Neurospora crassa OR74A: one gene and its partner. The protein of the gene in region 2 binds, or shares a complex with, the protein of the main gene of each other region. Links are inferred from orthologs where the notes say so. Each region holds a gene or a part of one and is shown on either strand. Other genes may lie near its edges. The genes, in order: NCU09465 and NCU08503.

Region 1 (3,799 bases), about 940 kb from region 2:
CATTCCATCTGCCTCCTCGTCCTCCGGCGGCCCCTCAACAGCTGAAACCCCCGATTCCATCAACCCCAGCACCAAACCCTCCCCCTTCCAACAATCATCATCACCCGACGAAAACCCCAACCCTCGAAAACGCCGACGCCTAGACTCCAGTCCGCCCTACGGAGTGACCAGCGTTTCGACCTCATCACCACTAGGCGGCGAGCAATGGATCGTCAAAACCGGCCAGTGGCGGCTGCGTATTCAGTCAAGTCCCAACCCCAACCCGGCTAAGGCGTCGGTGGTGGAATGTTGTTTGGTGGCGGTTAAGCTTGATGCGCTGAGCAGCGAGAGGAAGAGGAATGAGAGGAGGGGGTTTTTGGGTGGTTAGGTACCTGACATTGACATGAGGGTGAGGCCCTGGGGGTACTGATGGGATGGAAACGGTTGATGGGGTGAGAGAGAATGGAGGGATGACGTGGAGGAGCAATGGGGAAGAGTTAACTGGATGGGGTTATATCGATCACATCAGATTATGAGCATACCTTATTCTACATTAATACGAGATGGAAAGTTGGAAAGAGGATAGTCAATGCAAGATTCTCGTGGCAGGTGTTGAATGCTCATTTTTCTTTAGGACTGTCATTGTAGTTTCCTACTTGGTAAAGAGCTTCAAGCAATAACTCCCAGATCACCAATTCCAAAGCAGATATCCCAACCCCAACGCCTATATAAGTAATATACACAAGATTCCAAAGCGTTGATAAAGTCCTATCACTTCCATCGCACGTTTCCGATCATGAGACACGTCCATCTAGTGCGCGATTTGAAGCCATCCGAGCACCTATCTAAATCAAGCCCCTGCCTTCGCACTCCGCCCCGCCATTCTTTCGATCTATTTGATATCCCATCCTAGCCAAGAAGCACGCCCAAAATCAACCGCTGCAACGTAGAAAACGCCTGTCCCAATGTTGATTGTGATGCCCAACACCCAACGCCCAAAGCACACGGTCGCAGACAAAAGCCAAGGGCAGCGAAAAGCCAGGCCCACCCATGAAGCATCCCCTTTGTTTTTGAATGCTTTCACCCAGCTGCTGGCAAATCCGACCGACGAATCCTTGGATGTAAACGGCACCAGGGGCCTGGAAGGTCATGGTCGCTCTGCTTGCTTTGTTCCCGGCGGCCGGGCAGCGACGCTGTTATTTTCTGGACGAGGTCGATCTGATCTCGGATCAAATCAAATCGAGTTGGTTCTGGTTATCATTATCGCCGGTTGAGGGTCATTCGCATCGGCGGGGGACAGCAGAGGATCTGTCGACTGGTACATTGGCTCGGTCGGCTTGTTTAACTGGCTGGCTGTGCCAGCGGGGCGTGATCTCGATGCAAACCAGGGCGAGGACGGCTGGTATGAACTGGACTGGGCTCGAGAAAGCAATCGGCTTGCTTCTGCTGTATCATTGTGGCTTTGGTTGCAAGTTGATGTCGGAAAGGCTGGTGTTATCCTAACCTTCAACCTCGGTGTACGGAATCATGAGCGCCTCGTTGCGAGCCACTTCTATATTCCGCGCCTCTTAGATTTTTCATTCGACTTCGTAGTCCCCCATTAAGCGGAAACAGCAATAGACGCCGCGGCATCCGGTGCCTTGGGGAGGTTATCCTGTTTAGGTAATCATCCGTTGGTTAGCAACACTGCTGCATTCCACCCAAAACTCTTCTCGCCTCCATGTCCTGGTCCCTCCCCCCACACACAGAAAATGGCAATACTCACAACTTCAAAAATGACCCTGACCATCAAGCTACAGCTCGGGCAAACGGCAATGTCCTGACCGTCCTGGAGGTCGGCGAGCGCAATCTCGAACTTGTCGCCGCATGGGCAGGGGTACGAATACGTCTGCAGCGCTGGGTCGTAGGTCATGTCTTCGATTTCGACTTCGTCGTAGATGGAGTATTCTTCGTCGGACATTTTGGTTATTTCGATTGAAACTTCGCGGCTTGTGGGATCTGTTCGGGTTGCAAATGTCGCGAGCTGGGCTAGATAGTATCGTTTGGATGGTGGAGCGAAAAAGTTGGGAGTGTTGGTTGGATTGGAGGCTGATGATATGATATGTTGGAAAGTTGAAGGAACGGACAGGGAAAAAAAAAGAGTCAGCGCGGCGAGCGGGACAGTGGAGGGGCAAAATGTCAGATGTGACGGGAACTGCAGTGAACTTTTGGCGCGTGCGGCGCGCGGATGGAAGTGTGGGGGTGGGCAGAGTATCTTACCGTGTAGTACGCCAAGATTGGGCAATGCGTGTAGGTCAAAGCTGTGTAACTTACCAAGACCTCGTATTGCTTCGTCACTACAGCGAATCTTCCTCAATCGCTGTAGTCATGCTACGCAAAAGACATGCCATGAGACCAAGCGCAGAATCCATTTATATAATGGCAAAAGAGAACCAAGCTATCCCCAAGGCTCGAAAAACTTTTCTGAGATTGCATATCACCGAAGAGCATGAAGATGAGCATGTTGTCACTGGCTGCAGGGCTCTCATCTTTTACTTATAAAGCCTAGGTATGAACCTTACTTTCAACAAGGCCCTATGGCGCAACGGTAGCGCGTTCGACTCCAGATCGAAAGGTTATCCGTTCAAATCGGGTTGGGGTCATCCACAATATCTTTTTGGCTTTTTGCTATTCATGCATCTGCGACCAGCAACCATCTCGTGTTTCTTTTTGCGTTTTGCGTGTTGAAGTGGTGGTCAATCTCCTGACATCATTTCCCTTTCTTTTCTTTGGTCGAAAGAAGTAGAGTATTTTTTTCGAACGAGTTGAGACGCTTGGAGGTCATATTCACCGAAAGATTAAGTAGGAAAAGAAACTCATTATCAACTCTTTTCTGTATGTACCAGATACGCCTCCTCATGCTTCTCTGCCTCCTTCTGGCCATCATCACATAACATTCACCTCAAGAACTGCATCTTCAAGAACCTCGCGTCCTTTCGCCCACTCGTACCGCTACCCACACTTCCTCTTTGATTTGTTCTCACGAAACCCCAACTATCTGGACTTCCATCCTCAGATCCACCTCCCAATACTGTTGTTGATGCTGTTGTGCCTCCATTTCTCCTCCTCTCTCACCAGGAACTTATCCCCAATCCCCTAACATCATTACCCTGAATTCAAGCTCTGCCGCACGTCTCCCCTTGTCAAATCATCCCTTCGATCTTAACTCGATGCTTCACTCTTCAGTCTCCGCGAATCTCCTCACCCAAACCTCCCCAAATAACGAAAATGAAACCAGCACCAAAGTCCCTTCGTGTGTGCTCAACAACCAACATTAGCGGACTCAACAACATCATGATTTGGATAACCACTACCACCGAACTATACCATACCGTCCTTCTATTCCCAACTCTTCATCATCAGAAAATAGACACCACGCATTCCACAGCATTACATCCCAGCCAATACCTCGCTCACTCGTTTACTTTCCCATCTCAAACAAACAACCAAACACCCCCAACCATCAACATCGAAACCGAAACCCAGACAACTCAACCCAGCCCCGAGACATCACAAACATTTTAACCCAAAAGACTAGGAAACCTCTTCTCACAACAAAACCATCCCCACCGCCGCAAAAACACCCAACCCCACCGCCGGTCCCTGCAACGGCACCTTCCCAGCCGCAGCACTAGGCACCGAAGACGGGGACGCAGTAGAAGTCGAGGTGGAAGTGGACGTGGTGACGCCCGAAGAAGTGTAGCTGCTGGTGGTGCTAGAGGAGTAGACGGTGGTGGTTGTGGAGGAGGTGGAGGTGGAAGTGGTGGAAGAGGAGGGTGTG
Region 2 (4,232 bases):
TGACTTTGTGGCGGCAGCACTGGGACGTCGAGGTGCCCCTGGAAAAGCGCCTCAAGTACGATCGGGAGATGCGCACGCCCAGCACGGGGCTCAACGCAGTCGCAGCGTGCTTTGCTCGGAAGGAGGAACTGGATAACCAGCTAGCAGATATCCTCATGGAAGCGTTACCGGCGCAAACAGCGGCTGAGATTCGCCAGGGTGCGAAGGAGACGGCCACGGTGCCGCATCTGATGGCTTTGACCAAGGATCACCTGAGGAGTCATCAGAAGAAGCCGGTCGCTGCTGTTACTGCCAGGCCAAGGGTGGTGCAAGCGCAAGAACAGGACATAGAACAGCAGAGGGAGACGGGCTCCGCCTTTACAGCTAATGATAACCTAGCAGCAGGCGAGATGAATAGGAGGAAACTGGGCTTTGGTTGGCGATCAGGTCTCTCGTCGTATTTACCCCTGAGAAGGGTTGCATCTGTTCAAAGGTAGAATTGCATTGACTGAAGAAAAGAGAGGGAATGGGACTAGGAAGGATAAGGACACTGGACGGACTGGATAGACGGATGGATATAAACGCAGCCAGGTTGAGCAATAAAGGGCTGGCTTCTTGTGCATTGTGATTGAACAAAAAGGTTGACATAACCTACCTTGTATACGTACACGCAAATCAATTGGATACATACCAAACCACAACCAAAACTTGTTCACATTTCACTTGCCATATTTTGTAAGTAATATTCTTCGTATGCAGAAAAAAAAAACAGATGAACCTCCTTTTTGTATAACCAATACGCCCTAAATCCCAAATTCATCATAGTACAGATACAGCCAACCACCCCGAGTCTCACAACCCTCAAACCTCCATAGCAGCAGGCTTCGTCCTCCCCAACCCCTCTCTACCATAATAATCCATCGGATACGCCCCCTTCCCCCAATCCTCCTTCTCCTCCAGCGCAATCAGCGCCTCATACGGCGTCAACAGCGGTCTAGGGAACGCATACCCCCAATCAATCGACAGTCTCGGACACGCCACCTGCACCCAGCACTCGACATCGCTCATCATCGCCAGCTTTCCCGGGAAAATCTCTGAAAGACAGAAATTGACAAACGGCGTGCCGTTGGCCTTTAGCTTCTCTTCTATGAGACCCAACGTATTGGGGTTCCCCTGCCGTCCGAGACTACCCAAGATCAACCCCCATTTCTTGGCCGTCTTGGCCTGGCGGATGGCAGAGCGGCGAACGTCCTGCATCTCTTCGTGGCCGTACGTTTCGTGCGTCAGTTTGCGGCTGTAAGGGTCGTACCGGTAGGCGGGGATGGATGGGTTGTGAATCATGATGGACTCGAGGTGGAAGCGGCCGTCGCCCAGGTACAGAATCATGTCGACTTGCTTGCCGGACGAGGTGAGGAACTGGGACAAGTTGGGGGATGTGCACCCCAGGATCTCGCCCTTGGAAAGCGGCGCGATTTGCGGGATGATGACTTCGTATCCGGCTTTTTGCAGCGTCGAGCGCACGCCGTGGATGGTGGCGTTGAATTGGATGGTGCCCACCATGGCGATGGATTTACCCGGCGCAAAGTTGCGTTCCAAGGTTGCCAAGAGGTGGGAGGTGTCGATGCTGATGTCCACAAAGACGTACAAGGTCTTGATTTTGGTGACGTCCACGGGGATGAGGCACGAATGCGCGTAGTGCACTAGCAGGTCGCAGCCCATGGCGCGGGCGGTGTAGTCGTCGATGCAGCAGGCGCCGTAGGTGACGTCGCCCATGATCAAGGTCTCGATCCCGGGGCAGAATTGGGTCAAGATGTCGGAGATGGTGGTGGCGAAGAGGAGCAGACCCTCGGGCATTTGCAGGGCCACGCGCTTGGCGTCCAAAGTGCGGATGCGGTGGATGGTCTTGTGGATCTCGAAGGAGTAGTTGGATGGCAGAAGGGCGATGGCTTCGTTTAGGGCGGCGTCGTGCAGGATCGAGTCGGGCACTTGGTTGAGCATCCGGGGCGCGCGGCGCGGTTGGGCTACTTGGATGGCGCCGCTGTCTTCGATGGAGGTGTTGGCCCCGGCGGGTTGGGAGGTGCTGTTGGATGAGGACGAGGAGGACTTTCCGGCGGCGGCGCTTTGTCGGCCCAGGAAACGCTTCTTGGGTTGTTTCTGCTGGACGGAGGGGGGAGGGGGAGGGTTCATCTCGTCGATGTCGGCGGCGATGCCGAGGTCGACTTGGGCGCGGTCGTCCTCCATGTTAAACCTTTGTGATTTTGTTGAGTCGAGCCCAATGATGATATCCAAACTCGGGTCTGTAAGGCTCAAGGGTGTTGCGAAAAAGTTGAGTGTCTCGTCACGCTTTCTGAGGTTGATATCTCTCAAGTGAGTGAGGTGAGGTAGGATTTGTCAAAGTGAAAATTGCCAAGTACCTTCTGGGGTTTACCAAAGTCTTGAACAACAAACTTTCAGCAGAAGAAGAGCACAATATATTGTGTCTGCAGAACTATTCAATTGTAGATTCCTTGAACATAGCGTATTCTATGTCTATCATTCGGTCAAGCTTGGCCTCATCTCACTTCTACCATAGCATGTCGTCGTGGATGTTGTCGTTGAGACTTGGGAACATCAAAGGTACAAAACCCCAATCCGGCAAAGCGTACCCAGCCCCACTTCTCCAAATGCTTACTTGTAGGCCTGGGCTCATGGGTCAACTTGTGCAAGTGGAAAGTTTCGCGGCTGGCAGTTGGTCCAAGCGCAGCGGGAGATTTTTAAGCGGGTCAGGCTGAGACGGCAGCCAATCAATACCCCGGAAATTGTGCCCTAAGATTTCGACCGTATTGTCCTTAGCAAAAGCGGTCACCACCCACACAAAATCTTCCCCTTCGGAATTTCTCGAGTCGTCTCAATTCGCAACACCCAACTCCGGTCGTTCAGCCCCAAATACCGCCAAAATGAAGGTACGACGACTCCCCGATATCCACGGCGTCATGGCTACGGCATGACTGCGTCTCTGTGCTTTTTCACGAGTCCGAGCGTCCAATGTCAAATTTCGACACCTGGAGGTCGCGAAAATGGGAACTTGGAGGAGGGAAAAGAGGAGCCAGAACATCACCACCGCGACAATGTTGATGATGGGAATGGAGACATGGACATGAGGCTGACCCCACGCCCACCAACAGCTGAACATTTCGTACCCTGCGAACGGCTCGCAGAAGCTGATCGAGGTCGAGGATGAGCGCAAGCTCCGTCACTTCATCGAGTAAGTGGCAAATCACATTACAAGCTGCATTTGGTATCCAAAGACATGTCGCTAACAGCCTCACTACAGGAAGCGCGTAAGTTTTCCCGACACATCGACGACACATCGAAACCAACTACGATGACCGAACCCGAAACTGACACGTCGACTATAGATGGGCGCTGAGGTCCCCGCCGACCCCCTTGGTGACGAGTGGAAGGGCTACATCCTCCGCATCACCGGCGGTAACGACAAGCAGGGTTTCCCCATGAAGCAGGGTGTCATTGCCCCCAACCGTGTCCGCCTTCTCCTTTCCGACGGCCACTCCTGCTACCGTGCCCGCCGCACCGGTGAGCGCAAGAGAAAGTCCGTCCGCGGTTGCATCGTCGGCTCTGATCTCTCCGTCCTTGCCCTCGCCATCGTCAAGCAGGGCGAGCAGGACATCCCCGGCCTTACCGATGTCGTCCACCCCAAGCGTCTCGGCCCCAAGCGCGCCACCAAGATCCGCCGCTTCTTCGGCCTCAGCAAGGATGACGATGTATGTGTTTCTCTACGCAATCTCGTCATCGCCTGCCCCCGAGCTGTTGCGATGATCCTCGCGCAGTTCGTCGGGTAGAGTCTGAGATGAACACCAAAGGCTAATTATCCACTTTTTCTACGACGAATAGGTCCGCAAGTACGTCATTCGCCGCGAGGTCCAGCCCAAGGGTGAAGGCAAGAAGCCCTACACCAAGGCTCCCAAGATCCAGCGCCTCGTCACTCCCCAGCGCCTCCAGCACAAGAGACACCGTCTCGCTCTCAAGCGCCGCCAGGCCGAGAAGGTCAAGGAGGAGGCTGTAAGTCTTGCCCAACCCCCTCGTTGAAAAGCACTGCAGAAATGCTAACCATCATAACAGTCTGAGTACGCCCAGATCCTCGCCAAGCGCATCGCTGAGGCCAAGGTCCAGAAGGCCGATGCCCGCAAGCGCCGCGCCTCCTCCATGCGCAAGTAAGCGTTCGGAGTCAGGTGTGATGGATGATATCCGGTTGC

What was found.
Region 1: NCU08503 (region 2) and NCU09465 share a complex: the UniProt entries of both Saccharomyces cerevisiae proteins name them as parts of the 2-(3-amino-3-carboxypropyl)histidine synthase complex. The link is inferred for Neurospora crassa OR74A from reciprocal best matches to the Saccharomyces cerevisiae genes DPH1 and KTI11.

Annotation. Positions count from the first base shown.
Region 1 is NC_026502.1:4,367,762-4,371,560, reverse strand, and holds NCU09465 (diphthamide biosynthesis protein 3), read right to left. Parts: upstream 2,116-3,799; 5' UTR 1,940-2,115; coding exon 1,745-1,939; intron 1,634-1,744; coding exon 1,580-1,633; 3' UTR 586-1,579; downstream 1-585. Other genes in the region: NCU09466 (hypothetical protein), read left to right, coding at 1-367. UniProt on the Saccharomyces cerevisiae protein: Required for the first step of diphthamide biosynthesis, a post-translational modification of histidine which occurs in elongation factor 2.
Region 2 is NC_026502.1:3,432,630-3,436,861, forward strand, and holds NCU08503 (diphthamide biosynthesis protein 1), read right to left. Parts: upstream 2,608-4,232; 5' UTR 2,394-2,607; intron 2,374-2,393; exon of another isoform or gene 2,327-2,373; 5' UTR 2,221-2,326; coding exon 841-2,220; 3' UTR 668-840; downstream 1-667. Other genes in the region: NCU08504 (hypothetical protein), read left to right, coding at 1-476; NCU08502 (40S ribosomal protein S6), read left to right, coding at 2,916-2,921, 3,144-3,223, 3,293-3,299, 3,378-3,740, 3,871-4,038, 4,099-4,194. UniProt on the Saccharomyces cerevisiae protein: Catalyzes the first step of diphthamide biosynthesis, a post-translational modification of histidine which occurs in elongation factor 2.